Linked DNA regions of Rattus norvegicus. Each later gene encodes a partner of the first gene's protein in a complex. Links are inferred from orthologs where the notes say so. Each region holds a gene or a part of one and is shown in the gene's direction. Other genes may lie near its edges.

Region 1 (4,260 bases):
CCTTGGATGACTACTCTGATATCTTCCCTTATGGGACCCTTCTTAGTTTTGCTTTTGCTTCTGATTATAGGTCCATGTGTGTTAAAGAAACTAGTTAATAGGTTTGACTCCTACAAAAAGATAGAGACGCTCAACAAGGTTGGTTTGAGTCTTGGTTCACTCGGTCTCCCTGGATGACTACCCTACTCTCTGCTACAGCTGGGCCACTACTAATAATTTTCTTGGTTTTAGTTTTTGGACCCTGCATGACAAACAGGTTAATTGCTTTTGTTAAAAATTGAGTGGGTGCTGTGCGGTTGATGGTTCTGAGACAACAGTACCAGTCAGTTAGGACAACTGGTGAGACGAAATACGAGATTTGATATCAAAATTCTAAGATTAGAATTACTTAGTAGAAGAAGAGGGGAATAAAAGGAAAATTATACAGATTTAAGGTTTAAAAATATAAAATTAAAAGAGTAAGTTTCTAAACACTGTCCAGGCAGGGCAGGGCCTGCCCTACAGCCAAGACTGACAGGCCATAAAGATACAGAAGGGCACCTCCCCCAGCTTACTCAGAGTCACACCTTAACCAGATGTCTTTCAAACCCTGATAAGCCCCTAGACTCTAAAGTCCTGTACGCCCCAGTCAGCACGAACTCTTCTGCTGTGTTGTCTGTTTGAATGAGCCAATCACTTATAGCCGCGCCAAAAATTAGCCAATTGTGTGTAACCGCGCCAAACCCCCTAGCTTTCCCTATATAAACTCCTGACTTGAGTTTCGGGGTCGACACCTCTGTCTCCTGCGCAGGATACGTGTCAACCCGGAGATCCCCGTAATAGATCTCTGTAATAAACCTTGCCTTTGCTTATTACATCCAAAATGGTCTCTCTGTGTCTGGGGTCCGCGATTTCCCGCGACTTTGGAAAGGGTCTCTCATTCGGGATCGGTGTTTCCTAGGGCGTGCCATCCTGAGACTCGAGCTAGGATCTTTCAATGCAACCTAGCGGTGGAGCATTTGCTTGGCGCTCGCCTAGCATGTTCTGGGTTCAACCCCCAGAACATAATGCCCTAAAGTGTAGGTGTTTCCTGCTATGTAGCCGAGAATGAATGGTGGTGCTTAGGGAGCACAGGTTTCGGGGTTCAAGGGGAGGTTTGTGCGGCCGCCAGCCCGGCCTCTTTCCCACCTGGATTAGGATGGATCCAATGGGGTCGTTGAGCTCCTGGGCCTGAGCCATGACTGAGGCAGGCAGAAGGCGCTTGGCTCCGGAGGTATGGCCTTCTCCGGAGCGCTTCTAGAAGCAGGCACCAGTCACTATAGCAACGCGGCGCGCGGAACCGGCGTGCTCCACAGGAGGAGCGGAAGGGGGAGCTGAGGGCCAGCTCGCGCCTCCGCTACCCAGCGCGCGGCCCCGCCCAGAGCGCGTGCCCGGAGCGTCTCCCCCGCGCGCCGGCCTCAGTGGTGCGGCCCAAGGCGGAAGCGGCGCCGGCGCGGAACCCGCTCTGCTGCAGCGATGGCTGCCGGTGTTCCTTGTGCGCTGGTCACCAGCTGCTCCGCCACCTTCACCGGGGACCGGCTGGTGCAACGTAAGTAACCGGGCTCCTGGGCCGGGCTGCAAGGCCCGGTTCGGAGCCCCGGGCTCAGGGCCGGTGATTTCTCCCGGGCACTACCGGAGCTGGGCCTCAGGCTCTGACTGCTCCGAAGGTGTCCGCGCCCCGCGCTCAACCCTCTTCCTGTGTAAAGTGAGGCCAGTCTCCGACCTGCTGCTTCAGGGGTGGTGTTAGGGAGCACCCCCTAACATGATACCCAAGGCCCCGGAAATTGTGCCCTTAGACGAATGTAAGGCGCTGGAGTTGTGGTGTTGTGTTTGAGGGTTATGTCCCTGCTGCTGGGGTAGTGTTTCCTCTTGTGAACTGAAGTGCTCAGAAAAAAAGATGCACGTGCGTTAGTGTTCTGCAGGGTGATCGACCGACCAGGACGCCTGTGGTTGTGGAGAGCTGGAATTTTTCTAACTATAGCCAGATTCTTTAGTCTCCTTCTTAGCAGTTTGTTACCCACCTCCGTGTCTGACCTAATATCCTTGTAACTATCGGGTAAAATCCTTTTGGGAATAGGCAAACAGACCCCTAGCTTCCATCAACCCAAAGGCTAAATTTTATCAGATGGTATCTGAGGCCTACAGCAGAGGTTCCCCGATGTACTGCAGTCCTCCTACCTGATGTTCCCATCAAAGTATTTTTTAAAACAACCTGACCTATGGCTTTGTTGTTCTTCTAAAAACATTATGAAATTGTTATTACTATGTTGGAACATTTGATTTGAGGCAACCCTGATTCTTGTTTCCTGTTCATGATCACTCTTATTTGGCTCCAGAATAAATGCTTACTCTTCTAGAAATGAGAGCTGTGGGCATTCTTGACTCCCCTTGGTATACATGTGTGTGTGTGTGTGTGTGTGTGTGTGTGTGTGTGTGTGATGTATATATACACGTACATACATACTCGTGTGCACCCTCACCTGCAGTTAGATTTCCTGTGCTCCTCCTGCGGTGCAGGTCTCCACCAGAATGAGTTTGAGGTGTTACTGCATCCAGTGCTTTTGCTTCTGGACCCTAAGCATTGCTATGAAATTCAAGGTTTTTTCTTTCTTTCTTTGTGTGCATACACAAGTGTGTGCTCTGTTTTTCAATACCATTGTCCTGTGCATACTAAGCATGGCACTCTACCTCTGAGAGAAACCCCAGTCCCCCCACCCCAAAACGAGCTCTGAAATATAGTTCAGAGAGACTCGTGAGATAGAGTTAAGGAGCCAGGTCACTGACCAGTTCTGTGACTCACTGACTGTGGGCACGTGACTTAACCTCTGCCCTTCATGTTCCTACATATGGTGTGAGGATTATATTTCACCACAGGCCAGCATGTGGCAAGCATCGGATAAGTGGTTGGCATTGTTATAACTGCCTATCACCTGTTTAACCCAGCCTTGCTGATCCTTAAAGGGGGCACATGAACAGGTGTTTGGAGAGACAGTGGATGCTGACTTGCATATATGTCATAACCTGTGAAGAGCATCATACGGTTTGTAATTATTTGTTACACCTGTCGACAAAATCAGGCACGCTGCCCTTCCAGCACAAATATTCTATAATTTGCTTATCGTGACCACATGGGAAGTTCCTTGCTAGGGCAAAAGCTTAATTACAGCACTTACAAATGAGAACCAAACTCTCCACCCTTCTCTTACTTCCCCTAAGCAGTACCCCTCCCCGCCCCCGCCAGGTCCCTCATCTTTGCCCCTTCTACTTCATGTTGAATTATTAAAATTTAGCATATGGGGAAAAATGTTAGCTAATATTTCATTCATTCTTTCTTTCTTTTCTTTTCTTTTTCTTTTTTGCAGTTTCCCTGGGCCCCTGCATAGTTTCTGTATAATTCTACTTCATACGTAGGTTTTAGCCTGGGATGTGTGTGTGTGTGTTTTGTTGGTGATAGATCCCAGTGTCTTGTGCATGTTAAGCAAGTGCTCTACTACTGAGTCACAGCCTCATCCCCTATGCTGATATTTATTTTTAGCATTAAGTCAGAAGGAACTTTCTATTGTACATCCATATAGTGAATATACCAGAGGTTTCTCAAGGTGTTTATCTGTTATGTCATTTGACTTTTTATAAAATGTATATTCATTTAAATTCCCACTAGTGATAGACGAATGATCTTTCAAAGGCAGGTTCAGGAATATTATATATTCTGATAACTATGGTGCTCTGTCTTCCTCTCATCCCCCAACAAGGTCTTGCTATGTCTCCTAGGCCAGCTCTGTACTTGTAGTCCAAGTGTTGAGCCCACCATGCCTGGCCCTGTCCTGTTTCTCAAAGATCAGAACTGGTAAATGTGGTTGGTCATTGCCTTGAAAGAGCTGGTTGATCACCGATAGCCAGCAAATGGTGACATTCTCCCTTTGTTCTTCAGTAGAGACTCTGAACATTATTGGAGGGTGAGGTTCTATGAAGTAGCCCATTTTGTTTCTGTATGCAAAGTGCCTTAGGAAACTAATTCTTGTTAGAATTAGGTGCCACTCATTAGTGCTCCACCAGTCAGCAAGAGAAGAGCAGAGCAGCCAGCAGATGATTTAAATAAGTAAATCGTGAAGAGGGCTGGTCAGTCCTTCCTTCCAAGGTCATAGGGACGGGGCCGAAGATGGCATTAAAGACTGAGTTACAGTATTCAGGGAATGAATTTAATTTGGGGATGAAAGATGGAGACCATCATGAAAAGTAACT
Region 2 (3,500 bases), on another chromosome or scaffold:
CCTTTGTTAAGGTCTGGGTTTCTCTGCTCCCATCTTTATGCCCGTGAAATGCCATGTGATGCTTTGCGTTTGGATATACCTGAATCGTGTGGCCATGTTGGCAAACTGGGGGACGGTGGCAGGTGCCTTCCTGATTCTACTACAAATTTATCTAAACTTTTTCCCCCCCTTGCCAGGTCTGTGAGCTGGACATTATCTTTAATTTTGAGAAGGCATATTTTATCCTTGACGAGTTTATAATAGGTGGAGAAATTCAGGAAACATCCAAGAAAACAGCGGTCAAGGCCATTGAAGACTCTGATATGTTACAAGAGGTCAGTATGGTTTTCTATGTGTGGGATGATTCCAGGACTAATTATCATAGAGTTAACACTGGGGACTACACCCACAATCTGTTCTGAGCATAGCTTCTACTTTAAATAATATACCTGTGTTAGCTTAGTCAATTATCTCAGCAGTTCTAACTAGGTGTTAGCCTGTTTTATAGCGAGCGAATGGAGACTTGAGTTGAAATGTCCTGCTCGTTTTCGTAGTTAATAAATCTGAAGCAGAGCTTTGGGCCCTCACAGTTTGGTCTTGAATCTTTGCTTGCCCTGTTCAGCTGAACTTCGGGGTCTGAAAAATATCTTACCCTCTGAAGTGTATGAAATGCTTGGTGCTATTCTTTGCAAATGTACTTTTATGAGATGCATAAAAAGGCTTTCATTAAAATACCTGCTCTGCCCTGGGATGGGAGAAGAGCAGCACCTAGTTATTTCATTTGCTGGGAATATTAGAGCTGCGTCATCGGAGATGGCATTTGTCATTTTAATTGAAATTTCCTACCTCTCTTGGGAAGGCCTTAGGTCTGTGCACTCTTGTTTGCATAAATAAATCAGGAGCGTTGGTAACTGGATTACACAGGTATAAATGGGTCTTGAAGCCTGTGCTTGGTGCTCCTTCTGACTCCGTGATTGCTCATAAAATATCCTGGGACTTTTTAGAAGCATCCCAGATTTGAATCAGACCTAATAGGGGAACATAACCTACATCAGCGTCTACAAGGACACTCAAAAAGATCGCGATTTTCCACCAACTCTTGCCTTCTAAAATGAGGAACTTCTGACTAGTCCTAAACCAAGCGTGTTTCCAGGTGCCTAGATTCTGTCCCACCTCGCCAACAATGTCAGTGGGAAAAGGGACATTTCTTTTCCCTGTCTCCTCCACTCTACTGTTTTGTTTTGTTTTTCTTTTCCTTTCCTTTCTTTTCTTTTCTTTTTTTTCTTTTTCTTTCTTTCTTTTTTTTTTTAAAGACAGAGTCTTACTGTGTAACCCAGGCTGGGTTTGAACTCACGATCCTCCTGCCAACCTCCCATTTTGCTGGGATGACAGGCATGTACCACCCCTGGCCTCAGTGGGTTTTCCATCTTCCTGTTTTCATAACAGGTCAAGAGTCAAGAGGATTTCAAGAATTATAAAGCACCTTTTTAAAACTGGTGCTAAAGTCATTCTTCCTGCTATTTGGAGCTAAGAGACTGGTTAAGTTAATAAGACATTAGGCCTGATTTCCCAGCAGCTGTCTTGGCAGTACTGTGAGCTGATTACTTACTTCTGCCCATGGAGGGACTCCATCCTCAGGTGAGTAGAAGTGAAGGAAGCGAAGGGTGGGCTCTCATAAGCAGCTCTGCGTTCCTTAGGCTAATGCATTTATTGCTAGAGGTGTTGTCCCCTCAAAGAAACATATTGGACCTCTCTGAGTCTTACTTGACTTTTTCAAATGCCACAAGAAGTGGGATTTTATGAGGTACCGAAGAAATCAGTGGTTCGGAAATTCCACAAAAGAGCATTTATTAAAATATGCTGGGGCAGGGAAGCAGGGAGTAGGAAGTGGGGATTGTTTCTGAGGCTCTCCTCTTGCTCTTTGAGATGGAAACTCCTTACAGAAGAGGGGAGCTCCTTATAGAGTCTCCACGGGGGCTTTGGCACTTCAGTAATTAAAGCTTCATGAACTGAGGTCAAGGCATACCTAGGTTATTTCAAAGTCCTCTAACTGCAGAAAACAAATTTTTACGGGATTTCAGTGAATCCGTGTTTCAAGTTACATTTAAATCTTGGGACCAGGCATTTTCAGGAGTGAGCCCTTTTTTCAGTGAGGCACTAATGGCTTCGTTCCTGTCCCTGGTGATTTGAACGGGCAGTGTGAAAGGTTTCCTCAGAGACCCTGGCTTAAACATTGTGCCCCAGAAAGCAGGAAAGGTTGTGGCTGACCTTAAATGTCACTTGTTGAATGCACAGAGCTGGCCAATGAGAGTGTTGCTAGTGTCCTCATGGGTTCTGGGATCCCCTCCAGAGATGTCAAGGGTCTTTTTTTGGAGGGGGGGGGCTTGTTGAGAAATTGACTATACCTGTCTGTTCTGCTTCAGGAAGTAGGAAATGTGTAGGAGAAAATGTTAAGATTGTACAAAGGAGAAAGATGGCCCCTTTATTTCTTGACCTTCAGGAACAAATATGTCCTAAACACATATCCGTAGAGGCCAAGGAAGGCCATTATGACATTGTCTTCCCTTTAGAACAGTGGTTCGAAAGCTTCCTAATGGAGTGAACTTTAAATACAGTTCCTCAGGTTATGGTGACACCCCTCCCCCAGCCACAAAATAAACTATTTTGTTAGTACTTGATAACTATAATTTTGTTACCCTTATGAATCGTAATTTAAATATTTGATACACAGGATGTCTGATGTTCCACCTCTAAAAGGGTTGTGATCCACAGTTGAGAAATACTGGTTTAGAACAACTAAAGTAGCTGAAGTAGCTCTTAGAACCCCCTTCCCCCAATTACACTTAGTGAAGGTTTCATAGGGCAGGGGAGGAAAACCAAAGTTATTTTCACATATTTCCTAAGAAGACCCAATAGGCTCAAAGCCCCAGGTGCTCAAAGCTTAGTCTGAGTGTATTCAGGTTAGATGTTGATCATCCCAAGAGGGTGATTTATATGGGAGGGAGCAGCTGCAATGTGGGTAGTCTGATAGAGACAGAAACATAGACTCAAGAGTAGACATTGTAATTCTCAAAATTACCAGTAGGGGGCAGCCATTAGTGGATAATCTCTATAGACCATACCTTGTCGAGAGGGGAAGGTCAAATGAAGTTCCAGCAGCAGGCCATCTCACACATCCGTGATGCATGAGGTACCGCTTGGTGAGCTCCAACACTTCTACCTTCAAAGCATAAACCAAAACTACAGTACAGTGGGAAAGGGCTGAGTGTGAGGTACAAATGCCACACCATGGTGTGGGTCCCACGATCCGACTCGAGGCAAAGTCTCATGAAGGCATGGGGAGGACAAAGATCTGATGCTGTCCCAGTTTTAAGTCGGTTCCAACCCTTTTCAGTGGCAAGTTCAAGAAAGTAACAAATCCTCACATGACTTCCTTATGCTCCTGGAGCGATAGCAGGACTCAGACAGGGCAGGTAGGACAGAGTTCAGGCCCTGAGTCACCTCATGCTAACGCAGGGCAG

Evidence for each region. Proteins that work in one complex are often made in the same cells at the same time.
Region 2: the proteins of Aagab (region 1) and Ap1s3 are in contact, whole or in part, in a crystal structure (PDB 9DDT), measured with the Homo sapiens proteins. The link is inferred for Rattus norvegicus from reciprocal best matches to the Homo sapiens genes AAGAB and AP1S3. Residues at the interface, in NP_078942.3 of Homo sapiens: Asn51, Lys52, Tyr53, Tyr54, Glu108, Val109, Met110, Ile111, Gln128, Ile132, Gly135, Phe136, Glu137, Asp151, Phe153, Pro154, Glu155, Arg161, Gln164, Ala165, Asn167, Ala168, Asn169, Val170, Met176; in NP_001034658.1 of Homo sapiens: Arg10, Gln11, Lys13, Arg15, Gln37, Leu40, Ser41, Arg61, Tyr62, Ala63, Ser64, His85, Val88, Asp92, Phe95, Val98, Glu100, Leu101, Asp102, Ile104, Phe105, Asn106.

The regions. Positions count from the first base shown.
Region 1 is NC_086026.1:72,977,309-72,981,568, forward strand, and holds the start of Aagab (alpha- and gamma-adaptin-binding protein p34), read left to right. Parts: upstream 1-1,460; 5' UTR 1,461-1,494; coding exon 1,495-1,567; intron 1,568-4,260. Other genes in the region: Iqch (IQ domain-containing protein H), read right to left, coding at 1,168-1,218. UniProt on the Homo sapiens protein: May be involved in endocytic recycling of growth factor receptors such as EGFR.
Region 2 is NC_086027.1:88,402,700-88,406,199, reverse strand, and holds part of Ap1s3 (AP-1 complex subunit sigma-3), read left to right. Parts: intron 1-176; coding exon 177-314; intron 315-1,425; coding exon of another isoform or gene 1,426-1,470; exon of another isoform or gene 1,471-1,616; intron 1,617-3,500. UniProt on the Homo sapiens protein: Subunit of clathrin-associated adaptor protein complex 1 that plays a role in protein sorting in the late-Golgi/trans-Golgi network (TGN) and/or endosomes.